2 linked regions of the Lepisosteus oculatus genome follow. The protein of the gene in region 1 purifies or fractionates together with the protein of each later gene. This does not show direct contact. Links are inferred from orthologs where the notes say so. Each region holds a gene or a part of one and is shown in the gene's direction. Other genes may lie near its edges.

What was found. The genes of interacting proteins can lie anywhere in the genome.
Region 2: the proteins of utrn (region 1) and dtna purify together in Homo sapiens (affinity purification with mass spectrometry; 3 studies listed by BioGRID and IntAct, with this or other methods). This does not show direct contact. The link is inferred for Lepisosteus oculatus from reciprocal best matches to the Homo sapiens genes UTRN and DTNA.

The regions. Positions count from the first base shown.
Region 1 is NC_090697.1:51,303,715-51,310,721, forward strand, and holds the start of utrn (utrophin), read left to right. Parts: upstream 1-3,984; 5' UTR 3,985-4,088; intron 4,089-4,111; exon of another isoform or gene 4,112-4,322; intron 4,323-6,831; 5' UTR 6,832-6,949; coding exon 6,950-7,007.
Region 2 is NC_090701.1:46,696,221-46,703,162, forward strand, and holds the start of dtna (dystrobrevin alpha), read left to right. Parts: upstream 1-3,931; 5' UTR 3,932-5,237; intron 5,238-6,942. Other genes in the region: nucleolar protein 4, read right to left, coding at 3,023-3,277. UniProt on the Homo sapiens protein: May be involved in the formation and stability of synapses as well as being involved in the clustering of nicotinic acetylcholine receptors.

The DNA.
Region 1 (7,007 bases):
TGGATGTAAATTAATCTGTTTTAATCCATATCAAAATGAACTCAAAATATATGTAATCATTCTAACTGCTATACCAGTAGACAAGCTTGATTTACTAAAACACCAGAAGGTCTTTTAATTCATGCTTCATACATTTAATTCGATCTTAACATATCAGTTGTATGAGAAATTCAAAATCATAAGGAAAGACTAATTTCTTCAGTAAAGTTCCGCTCAAATGTAACTGAAGTTGCTCAATGTGGAAAAGCTTCAAACTATTCAAATTATAAATTCAAACTATAGCAATGCTGATAATAATTGAGATCTATGCAACACTTTCTTACAGTATTGGATATTAACTTTATAATATTTTTATTAGAAAGTGTAATGCCCTACACTTGATGATTATGTTGGCTTCTGGTGGAATTCCCCTTTAAATTGTAGGGGAAATCAGAAGACTCAGGACATGGGCCTAAACATTCCACATTGCTTGAACCTTACAATGAGGTTATTGTGCTTTGAATGTATAGATTAAAATGACTTTTTCCCTCCTGGCACTGTGACATTTTCTTAACACATGTCAAACGTTTATCTTTATGTTCTCTTTACTTCAAAGTATCTGCCTTACGTTGCTTTCATAGCCGGTGAAAAGAAGGATTCAATCTGAATACTCAGTGCCTCTCCAATAGATATTGTTGTGAAAGTTTAAAAGAGCACAGCATGTGTTCAGCAGTCGCCTGGCCGTGATGTTTGTAGGGCAGCTAGGATGCAGACAGGCATTCCAATCTTTTGACAAATGTTCCCTTCTCCGTTTACCTGAGCTGTCACCCTACACCTGGTGGAGTGTATAGTGGAGCGCTAATTTGTGAAAATAAAACCTGCTCTTTGTACCATATGAAAAACCACATACAAAGAAGAATGTCAGCTGAGAGCTTGAGGAAAACGTCCAAGCCCTTTTACGGAAAGATCTACATTTCCAGTGTCTGAAATGAATCAGCTCTGTATGATGTTTCTCTCTTGACATTGCTTTATTTGTTTTTTATTATATAAACTATGCACTTTTATAAACTATAAACTGAAGCATTAAGGCATTTATGTTAATATTCTGTACTCTACCTGGGGTTGTGATCTGGTAGAGTGGTCACTCAGGCAGCTTGCAGTACAAGCCTTGAATTGTTATTATTATTATTATTATTATTATTATTATTATTATTATTATTATTATTATGTTCCACTTCTTTTTTAAAAAACAGGATATTTTTAAATAAAGGATGCCTTCACTTCACTCACTGGATACCTTATGATGAAAATAAGTTTTTAAAGCAAAGCACAAAACAGTATACAGTAATGCCAAAACAATATAATTTAAAAAGCAGTTTACTCTTTACCTACGCCAAATTATTCCTTTTACTCTTAAAAGATATAGAGAACTCTTTGCACTAGAGAGCTTAGCACATTTTCTGTTTCTTATTTATTCAACTGTTAACAGTTTTCTAGTTTTAAAGTGTAGCATATTTTAAACTGCAGCTTCTGTGAGTTTTGGCAGCTGCTGCTTCCTTTCAGATGAAAGAACAGTTTGAAATATAAGGCTTTCATCTGATGTTTTTAAAAGGTTTTTTATTTTACATGTACTTACATCATAAACTGAATTGTAAAATATTAAAATTTCATAATGATTTATTAAGTCTGTTATTAAGTGTCACCAATGATTTGCAAAAAAATAAACACAATGTAATTTCTTAAATTCTTCTCAAATATATGTGTATAGCCAAGTGCTTCTTTTTTCAGTAAATTAAGGGGTATAGTAATACCACAGCATTTTCATGTAACATTGATTTGAAGGTTGTTTTCTTTCCAAAAATGGCATTTTGACCACACTTCAGTTATACAATTTCTTCTTTAAGTCTGTCATTGCAGAATACAGCAAGCTTCTTCCAGAGGAAACTGGGATTCAGTACATTAAGGATTCACAGAATGGTTCTTCACTTTCAGAACATGCATCATGCATCACTTGATGCATGTTGGGCAATGTTTGGGAACATTTACAGTTTACTTTCTTTTTATATTATCATCAGTAAAAAAGCAAATAAATGACAAAATACAGCATTTTAAATAATAACATAAAAGTGCTAAATAGCTAAACAAGCTAAAATGAAGATATAGTTTCATGAAAAATTCTGAATACACAGAGATGCAATGCTGGCCCAGTATGTATTTTGTCTCCCAGTGTGAGTTTCAGGGAAGAGAGACATCTGACAACACCATGCAAGGATGTCTGAACATTCACCAGAAGTGTGGAAACATGTTTCAGTGAAGACACTCCCATCTTTTTTCAGAGATAAACCTCCTCCAACACCTGTCCTTTCAATACCCAGCTTAGTGAATGACTGGGACCCCTGGACCAGTGCTCCTTGACCCATTCTTGGTCCAATTAATGTAACTGGTTTTCTGTCCACAAACAACATATAATTAATGGAATTTTTCTGAGTGGATGCAATCCACCATTTACAATAGGTATAATATTAAGAGTGAATGACATTATTTTCCTCAGAGGAAAGGAATTCTGTTTTTGATAGAGGAGGGTTGTCTTGTTTCTGATATTGCTTTCTGGGGGAAACAAAAACTAACCAGTAGCATTACTGCCTTGCAGTGCTGGGGTCCTGGGTTCAATTACAGACCTCGGGCACTGTCTGCTTGGAGTTTGTATGTTCTCCTCATGTTTGCATCGGTTTCCTCATACAGTCCACGAACATACTGGTAGGTTAATTGGCCCTGGAAATGTGGCCCTGGAGTGAGTGTGTGCATGTCTGTGTTTGCACCCCTTGGTTGTCGGGATAAGTTCTATTGTGACTGTGAATTGGACAAAGCAGCTTGAAGTTGGATGGAATAACAAACCACCCAAAGATTATTCTGAAATACCATCACCAGAACTATTTGGAAAACCAAATGAGGGGATGTTTCTTCTGACTGATTTCCAACACTTCAGAGATTCTTTGTTTACAGCTAAAATTTGTCAGAGTTGTGACAGTAATTTAAGTGATTTACTTCTTCACCAAATGTTAGTCCTTTAGGGAACAATGATAAGATTACATGATCCTCAAGCAGGACAGTGCCATGCTACTGAATGGTGTTGTCAGAGGGTGAGAAATTATATTGAAGGTGTTAGCAACTAAAATTGTATTTTGATTTGTAACACCAGTTATAAAGAAAACGATATGAGTAAAGTGGATGTCATAAGAATTAAAAATGAAAACCACCAAAAAAACCAAATATATTTTGACTAACCCAGATTCAGTTAGGGTTACTCAAGAAAAAACTTTCCCCAATAATGTTTCAGCTAATGAACATATCATTGTTATTTAGTTTACTGATGAGTGTTTTGTACTATTAAATTTTAAATACAGACAGTAATGTATTATCTGTCTGTACTACTGCCAGATATATTTCTAATTGAAAATATAGTTTTAAGATAGAGCACCATTGTATAGAGTGAGATATGTCAAAGAACTTTACTTAATATTAGGCGAAGTTATATATTGTATATACACAGCTGAAAAGTAGGTCATTCACGAAGTACAATTCAAAACGCAATTTACAATAATAACAAAGACAAAAACTCCAGAATTTCTAGCCTTCTGTACAAAGGTTTTGTCAACAAGGGGCAAAACCCGAACTGTCACAACTAAAACCAGCTAACTTAAAACACTTTTATTGGTAACTTTTCGTCATTTTCTGCTACAACTTAAGTAAACACTAACGAAAATACCGGTTCTAAGTACAAAAAGCAAACAATTGTGAACTCTTAAGTGATAATATATTATCAGCGACTGACGTGGCGTTGGTAACGAGAAAGGGGAGTACTGTTTGATCCCCATCAAGTTCACTGAGGAGGATGAAAAGCGAGCCCAGCCTCCTCAAACGTTACTGGTGAGTCTGGTGAGCTCTCCTTAAGTCCGTGTCCGGAGTCCGGGGACCAGCTGAGCGACTGAAGGCGCAGTCACGTGATACTGGCTGCGCCATATTCCAGAAGCTGAGCTGTAACTGCAGCGCGAGGCAGGGGAAAGGAGCAACTGGAACAAAGTTTGTGGCCAACTCGCAGAAAGCAAGCGGTAGTATTTTTCTGTTTATTAAAAAAGTGTGAAAGTATCTGGAATTCAAACGTCAGACGAAACGACTTTTTGCAAAGCACCCTTAAATGCACTTTCAAGTATTTTTTTTTTACAAAATTATTGCTGTTGTGGAAACCAGGGACGGATATTTGCATTGTGCATGGTTATGTATGTGGAGAACTTGGCTAGTATCATCCTCTGTTTTGCGTAGCTGCTCTTTGGAAATGTCTTAAGGTAAAGGTCTTGTTCTAAACAAAACTTGCTTTACTCTGTACTTTTCAGTTAAATTTATTTCAAGTATTTCTAAGTTACCTCTAGTTTTCCATCAGGCTAAGGTCAGTAAAATTTAGAAGTCATTTAAGGAGATGTGTATATTTTCCTTGTTGCATTTTGTTGCATTCCTAGTACCGATCGTTTTTAAGTAAGGGTAGCTTAGTTAAGAAATCTAAAGGCGGACCAACGGAAACCTTAAGATTAGAAATAACGAACGTAAGAGTCGTAGTCCTTTATAATATTAAATAGAGCCCGCCAACAGTGAGAAACACTTTTATATGTATTTTTCACTGGGGTTGAAAGTTGACAATTTGGTTTATTGTGGAGACATATTTGTTCATAACAGTTTTGTGCAAAAAATCACCAAACGTTCGAAGAGTGACAGCAGTGCGCTTTTGTATTAGGATCATCGCAGGAACTACCTGCTGTTAGCGTTATGTATTCCGAATAATGAATAATGTGTTTAGTGGGGCTTGCTGTTGTAAAGTAGTACCTTAATTCCTGTTTTTATGATTAACACAAAAGCTCTTGAGTTTCGCCTGTGCTGAGCTCAAAGTTAAAACTTGAGTCAAAGCCCCTTAATAACCTGCGGTGACGATTGACTTCTCCGCCTGCTCAGACTACCTTGTTTTGTATTGGGCGTTTTTTAGGGAACTGCGATTAAAAATGGTTGAGAGGTACGATTTGACGTCGAGCTTGAGCCGTGTTGACATTTGTGTAACCTCGCTCCATTCCTCTGGCCATGCACGGAAAAGCCTTTCCTGCGATGCCAGTCACCGGCGAGCTTGAATGGGCTCGACAAGGATCTGAGAGCACTGCCAGCCCCTCCCAGAGTAAGAATGTTGACGACGTGGGCGCTCGGCTTGCCTAGTGAAAGTGCGGTCTCTGTAACAATGTGACTTCTACATCCAGATACACAGTAGTGTCCCATACGTTATGGAACCGAGTTTATTTTGTTTAGCTCGCCGTTTTGTCGGCAACGTATTATCAAATGAGTGGAAATTTGTTTCCTGCAACAGATTGTTGACGTTTCGATATAACTCGTGAGACATTGGTTTTATGGACTACGATTATTGCCACTAAAAACGAATGAAAATATTGTGTATTTTTAAAGATAGGTTTAAGTGCATTCATAATTAAATTTAGTTCTTTTACATTAATTATAAATTTAAACATAGAATGTCCGCACAGTTAGGTGAGGGTGCTTTCATGAACAGCTATGAGGTGTTAATTTCTTTTTTAGTTGTTTTTCATATCATTTGTGTTTTCCCAGTAGACTTCTAATACTTTTTTTATGCTTTGTCTTCCATTATTTGAAAGTCTGGTTATTTGTGTATTTATACTATTTGTATTGAAAATTAAAAATAAAGTATTGTTAAGTGTTTAAAAATATTTTTTGGGGTTCATCGCACACTGCCTCATTACAAGGCTGAGGTCTTTAGGTATTCTAAGCTTATTGTGCTTTCAAATGTGTGAGCATAGATGTGCCTTCATTACCATAAGTAAAAGAGGTACTGGTAGAGTGTTTTGTGTTTGCTCAAGGTCACTAGGCACTGGTGAAGCATTTAACTGAAGAGCCCACACTACATTATTATAGCTGGGGGTGATCTCTGCCTGGTTTCACTAATGGCATAGTCTTGAATGGTAAATCTAGCCAAACAATAAGTATGAATTGTTTTATGTGACAAAATTAAATGGGAGCTTTCCACCAACCCCCCAAACAAATCAGAAAATGACTTAATTACTGTGCAGAGTACATTACTGGATTCCTTCCAGAAAGCAGTTTTTCAAATGCCTTTGGTCTGTCCCAGGAGTCGGCCGGTGGTCTTGTCTAGACAGGCCGCATAGGGGACAATAGCTTGTGTTTTGTCATCACAAGCGTCAAAAAACGCTTTTATAAAGTTTTCGGTTTTTCATTATGTAGAACTGGAAGGTCTAAACAGGTGATATTGTATCGAGTGTGTATTGAGTCATATTAGGAATGGCCTTGTGTGTCAGGCTGTTTTCAATGACAGCAGTGTTTATACAGTCTTGATTCTTTCATTGGCATACTTTCAGATACCTCTGTGAAACAAAGAACAATAGCTTTTAAAAAAAAAAAACTTAGTCCCCCACCACTGGGGGATAAGTTAAATAAGTTCCCTCCCTGGATCACTTCCTAACATTTCGGGAATTGCCAGATTCAGGATTCATAGGGAAGCAGACCAACAATAAAGCTCTTGCAGAGCACAAAGAGCAGTAACATTTATATCTTATTACTCCTACAGTTAAAAAACAAAACATGCCAAAAACTCTTGATGAAAAGGAATCCTGAGAGCTTTTTTGAAGGGCTTGTGTGTGGACAACGTGGTTTTGAGAAATGAGAATCTGTTTGCCTTGGGGTGTCTTTTTTTGTGCCACAGTACATGTTAATGATAAATTAGGGTCACGTCCTTCTGTGCATTAATCAGTCTCTCTTTAATTTCTCCAGGTGTTTCATGAAGAGTATGTGAAGTTTTGTTTTTTTGCAACAAGACTCCGGAGTTGATTTGATCCTTTAAAAAAAACAACAGGATTACAAACTTTGACAAGGAGGAGGCTTGAAGGACATGGCCAAAGTGGGAACAAGTGATGAAAACCCTGATGGTGCTGCCAACAGTGAATTCA
Region 2 (6,942 bases), on another chromosome or scaffold:
ATTACTGGCCCATCAAAAGGAGATCCTGTCTCCGGCAGCGCTGGCTTGGGCGAGACAAAATGAGGTGTCCAAGCTGTGGATGTCATGCACTTTGTTAAAAAAGCATTTAATTGTGGGGTATTTTATATTTTGTTGTTTGTTCTGTACAAGTCTGTTGGATGGTACAAGCTGAGATTGTAGTGGTACATGTGTGTGTGTTTCAGTTAAACACAGTTTTTTGTTCATAAGGAAACTGCAGATTTATTTATTAAATTTGGAGCAGATGGGATTCTAAAATAGGTCCTTCTAATATCTGGAAAAGATCACTTTTTAACCCACAAATGATCAACCCTGTGCACATAATAGACAATACACAAGGATAACATACTACAATGGGGCTGTAGATGTTTCAAAGGGATATATTCCACACCATATCACAACATTAAATGTCTGATTTATCTATTTATGAACTGTATTTATTTTAATAAGCCTTACAATATTACAATTATGATGTGAGATGGCAAGACCAATCATTTAACATAGAGTTGTTCCCTGGGGGGAGAAAGACGATTAAATTATTAAAATCAACATGCCTGTACATTTGATTGTCTTGAGACTGCAGGGCAGCAAAACTATAATCCTGAGAAGCAAGCAAAATAATATATAGTGTTCATAAGGGGACAATGGTTGCTATTCTAAAAGGATACAATAAAGTCTTCCTGTTGCTTTCATTTTTTTCTCATAATCCATTTTCTTAAACAGTAGTTTACCTTGTAAGAAAATTACTTAAAGCACTCATAAATAAAATTATACCGCTACTAAAGTCAGGAAAAATCACTCTCCAGCAAAACAGTTTAACTGTAGACAGCAAATGGCTGATATATAGGAAGTGATATGCTGAAAGAATGAAACATTATTATTATTAGCTATTATATATTTGTGTCCAAATAATTTCCCAAATCAAGAAACCTTGCTGGAATACACACAAAGATGTGTTACAAGTATGCCCCTTGAAACGCAAGCTTGTGAGATATAAGAACAGACGCTTGCCAGAGGAAGTGACACAAACACACAAACCGTTGGAGCCCAGAATGAGCACTGGTAACTCTGTTGGCCAGAGCCAGCAGAGTGTTGGGATAGGTGGAGCAAAAGCCTTGGAAAGAGGAACCATCCATTTAAAGAGAAGCTAATTGATCATCCATTCAAGCCAATCCTGGAGGCACAAAGCAAAATGAAGAGAGGTATTCAGACCCAGCGTGTGTCGTAAATGCGATGAAAAACATGGAGGACCGCCAAGGCAAACCAAGAGACTGCAACGGACACGGCCTGACCTGGACCTACTGCTCCGACCAGCTGAGCTCCTCAGAGGGATCTCTGAATCCCTGGGCAGGACTCAGGTCAACTGCTTCACAAGCCTTTAACGTCACGCCATCGGGTAGAACAGGAGTGTAACAGTAACTTTGAGAGACAACACGGGTGCTTCTAAGCCCAACTGCCTTTAGGAAAACCGTCATTTTTAGTGGTAGTCCTCAGGCACGGCCAGTCCAGGAATTTTCAGGGTGGCGTGGGCTGGGCAGCTGGGTGATCACACCGCGAAAAGTGTGAGTGAACTGCTACAGTACAGTATGTGTGGCTGATGTGTCGAGATCTTGCACATCGCTACCATCCTGGATAACAGGTGGCCCTGCCGACAGGCGAGAAAGACCGTGTAAGAACGGGCCAACTGGACAGTCATCACCGGCCGCGAGGGCTGCGATCCGTGTGGGGGAGGCAGGCGAGCACAGAACACCAGAAAGACATGCAGCCGAGCTCATTCCGAAACATGGGCAGCCGCCGAAAAGCAGACTAAATCTGTGGCACAAGCATGGTACAAACGCAGTAAAACAGCGGAAAAAAACGCCACCCACATTTACAGGATGACCAGCAGTCGGGAGGTTGGTTCCCAAAGAAACAGGGGTTATTTTCAACGTTTGGGGACCTAAGACTCTTCCCTGGTCATACTGTATATTCCTAATAATGAAGATAGACACTTAATAAAAACGCTGCCAGTAAAAACAAAATGTGGCACGTTGCTAAAGTGAAAGAGGTATCAGGTCAAAAACGTGTTTACCCTGCTGTCCAAACACAATTTTTTTAGAAAACGAGGCCTTGCCTTGCATGTACAGTATTACTCACTGCCGACAGCAGTGCCGTTTTTACCTTTTACTAATTATAACCTTAACATGACCCCCCGAGACAAAAGGCAGAGTAAATTAACACTGCGTGGAAGAGAAGTAACGCGGAGTGGTGCCGTGCCTTTGTGGCCGTGTTTCTCCCTTCGCCTGCTGTAGGACCAATAAAGTTGACAAAATCGGAGGAGGATGGTTTCTCTGCTTCCATGAGAATACCATCCCAGATAGGGCTTGGGAACAGTGGTGTCGTAGGCTGAGTATAATTCGGAATGTATGTTTATATGAACAGTTTACAGTATATTTGCAGCATATATATGTGCACTATTCATATATATATGAATATGCAAGCAAGCAAAAATATCCCATTGAATAAATTAAAAGTTCTCCGTTTGAGAGCCCTTACATTTATGAAGGGCCACCTCTGACAAATTATCCCATCATATGCTCCGGTTTTGCCCATTTAACGCACACTGATGTTACACGTGTAATCAACAACAAATCATTAAGGCTCTTCCGTATCTCTTGATCAGCTAGAAGAGGGTGATTTATCACTGGTATTAGGAAACTGGAGTCGGGCAATGGTCTGTGTGCGCGTTTGTTTGGTTTTTTTGGGAGTATGGGTAAATACTGATGAAAGGGGGAGATGTACTGTAATCTAATGGGCACTGCAGCTTTTAAAGGGATCCCTATGACTTTAACAATGAGGATGTGCCAGGCTACAACACGGAGAAAGAATACTAGTTTCAAGCTCATCGGGGGCTAGAATCACTTCACATTCATTTCGACAAAACGTTGTGCGCTTACGTATCGATGTGTTGTTTCATTTAACGACGGGACTGAGGCATATGAGCAATTAAACGTGTTTCACTGACCGTGGTTTTAACTGGAACGTAGAGCACTTGTTTCTCCCCTCCGCTGATCTCATCTGGAACACCAAGCTGAAAGCCCTTGGACTTTACCCAAAATTTAAACTTTGCATTGTCTGTGGAGCTGGACTCGGATCCGTTCAGAAGCTGTACAATCCGGTCGTATTTTTTACGGGTCACCGTCTTCGTCTTCCCGGAATCACCATATGTCCTGAGGCACCAGTCCTGAAACTGGCGATACATGTCCCGATCTCCCTCCATTATCCTGAGCAGGGTACAGAAATGGTCCTCGCCGTTGTCCCTTTTCGCCTTCCTTATCCTCCGACTTTGCACCTGTTCGCCTGTTGTCGGTTATACGAACAAATAAATAAATATATATCCCTCAGTCAAGCCGATGGCGCCTTGAAATGCGGGTCGGAGTTTCTAGATTTACCTTGGCGGCTGGGCTGATGTCGAGGTCCCGCATCCAATCTCCCCCCCCCCACCCACCCCTGTTAATTTTCAATTCATCGAGATCTCCCAGGGCAAGACAATCGGATCCCGGTTGCTTATAGTCTGTCTCTCTTCCATACGTGACCAGTTTCAGTATTCCGCACGCAGGACAACGCCACTTTTTTTTCGGGATATAATGTGCCCCCCCCCCCCCGGGAAATTCCAATATATTCCACCTTCCCGGTCTCTGTGGTATTTCACACACCGGACTCTACCTGGCATCGACCGGATTCAACAGACGGAGAGAAATTAGTTCTCGGTTGTCTCTTTTTCTCTCTGCCCCCTCTCCCTCCCGCAACCCAGCGCTGTTTTGTCCAGGTCTGTGCCTCTCCCCAGTAACCGTGGAAAAAAAAAAAGAGAAAGAAATACGAGCCAGGTCAGGACTCTGCGTTTTAAAACGGACTGGTTGGCGATGCTTGTTGGCCTGGAACCAAAACAAATACTCAATTTAATTAATAATTATAATAGCAGTTGCTCGGGCCTTTCATAGTATCCTGTACTCCTTTGACCAGAAGCGGAGTTGGAGCTGATGGATGTTTGGCTCTTGAATGAATGGAGCTCTTTATACATACAGAGAATATTTGACTCCCCAATCTGGAATACAAAACTAGATCTGTTCATTTATTGAGTAGGGGGAGAAAAAAACCCCACCAACAACAACACACACACAAAAAAAAAACCCCATGTCACAACCAGATGTAAACGCAAATCCTGTATCGATCTGTCCGCTGTTTCGTGAAGCTTTCGGACGTGGACGTCTGCCCCCCGACTCCAGCGTCTTTATCCTCCCAAGCACACGACGGGGGCTGTGTTTCTCGCCTGCACCGCTCCGGAACCCGAAAAGTCTTCCTATCCCGCTGTCGGCTCCGTCCGTCTCCTGGACGCGTCTGTCTGTGTGTGTGTGTAGCGCCGGGGTCCACACGGATGTCACCCTGTTCGGCCAGCCCTCCCCAACCCACCCCTGCCCATAAATTGGAGCCCCGTCCTTTGTGAGGAACGATCTACCTGGCGGGGTCCCAAAGCAGGTCAGTGCCACCGCTCCTATCCTCCGGCTCGGGAATCTGTTATCCTCATTTGAAGAAGTGAAAATACGAACGGTCAGCGGGTTTTTGTTTCTTTGCACCGTCTACCAGGACCCCTCCACTATATATATTTTGAAATGTGCGAGTACGGTGTCTCTTTCAGCGGCACTAAATTACGTGAAATGCTCGACGGCCGGACCAGCGAAATATCCCATGCCTCTTTCCCGCAGTCCTCAAAATTCCTCTCTGGAATTGAAATTATATAACTGGAGAAAGTGATGGAGCATTTTTATTGGATTTTTTGGGCTTCCTGGCTTGATCCCTTGAGGCGGCTCCCCATCCCCTTGTGCGGCAGCTACCACGGCAGGATTGTAGGCTCCCCTCCCCGTCTCCGTCTCCGGATTGTGCAGGAGGTCTGGCGGCGGCTCCAGCCGGGACTGACAGCACGGGCTGAGCGAGCGCTCGGCGCAGAACCTCTCTCCTCGAGTTCTCAGCCATCTGATTGGCTGCCGGGACAAAAGTTTCTGTGGAGACGGCCGAGTTGTGACGTCACAGAAAGAATTGTCCCATTTAGGGATCCAGGGCAGTGCGCATGCTTCTCCTGGCAGGTTGGTTCGTGGGATCCCTCGTGCGAGGCAGGCAGGCAGGCAGGCAGGCAGCACTGCGCTGGCAAGACAGCGAGGTGGCAGAAAGGAGCGAAAATGCAGGTGAATTATTCCAGCCTGGTTGCTATGGCGATTAATCTGCATGGCGCGGGAAGCCAGCTACATCGTACTGCTGGCCCGGGTCACGAGAAATGCGGGTTAAATGGCCAGTTGATCTAAAATGTACACGATGATCAGTAGGGACCGCCGGTCCAGGGTCTTTATAAAACAGAGAGTAGCTAATATTATCCAAATAAGCACAAAGGTGGATAGATCACTTTTAATCTGCCGATTTGGGACCGTGCTTTGGGAAATGTGCTGGGTTTACAGTTTTAAATAGTGCAGAGCTGGAAGGCGAAAGGCGATGGTTCACTGAGAAATTAATTTGCCAAAGGCTGTCTTTAAATGCAGTTTTAGTGGATGGAGGAGGAGCATATCGGCGAATTTGGAGTCAGAAAACCGCCTGTAATGTTGTCACCCTCAATGATGTATTATTTGGTTTTAAAACGTGAGGAAAATGTACAGTAAGTGTTGGTGATGTCTCACCGATGGGCGGGTGGCGCAGTGTTTATCTCTGTGGCTCTGGGTTCAGTGCCGGACTTTGGAAAACTGTCCGCGTGGAGTTTGTGTGTTCGGTGGGTTTCCTCCCACTCTCCAAAGACACGTGGGGAGGTGTTAGGGAGCGTCTGCCTTCAAATGGACTGACATCCCATCCTGGATGTATCCTGCCTTCCTTGCTGGGACGGGGTCCAGCTCCCCAGCGGACCCCGGATGGGCAGAAGCAGTGAGAAAACGGCTGGGTGGTGATGTTTTACAATCCATCTGCTGAGGCTGAATGGCATCCATCATCTCTCGTCAGTCTGCCGAATGGAAATGGAGTAAGTCACGAATGTGTGTTAGATCAGCTCATACAAGGTAACCTTCACCCAAAATAACTTTGTCATAACACCGGAAGTTTCTCCCGTTTAACCCTCTATCATTTAATACCAGCTTCATTCATCGCTAGACATTTCCCCCATCGCTTGTGATAAGGCTCTGGGTGTACATTCGTCATATAATATATAATAAGCCACAGACTACATTTGAGGCTGTCCTACAGCTGGGACAAGAGCATATTCCCTTGCAACATGGGGAAGCACTGCTGTGTGTCCTGATCCTGCGTTGTGAATCACAAAGGTCTTGGGGATATTGATTAAGTTGAATTAAGATTAAATTCGTGTCAGGAATTTTGTCTGTATCACAGGGCCCTACAGTACATACCGTGAGGCTGACACTGGCGTTAATATCTATCACCCCAAGACAAAGTACACTGTTCCCTTCCATTTTTACATCAGATATCTTCACTTTATTTTTTGCTTTTGGTAGAGCTACTGATTGGCTGTGTTTTAACTGTCTGCAGACAGTATCCTTCCATGGTACGGCCCTGATTGAATTGAATGAAATGCTTTGGGGATTAATGCTTTGGGGTGCTCTGTGCCAAACGTCCTGCTCAAGACGATCGGTGAAAGTGTGCACACTTTACAGACGGCTGTGGTCAGAGTCTTGCCCTTGTCCGACCCTGGGGGTAGGTGCCCGGCGCTTCTCTTTTGCTTTTCTCCCGTGCCACGCTCTGCCCTCACTTTGTGTAGAGTGTAAAAATCACCTTTCCTCTCCCTCTGTGGACTACTGGTCTGTTTTATCCCAATACCACCTCTCCCTCGTGCGGCAACACAAAGCTTAGGCATTCCCAAGATCCCTCTGCACAGCAATAGTTTGAAACTGCTACAGT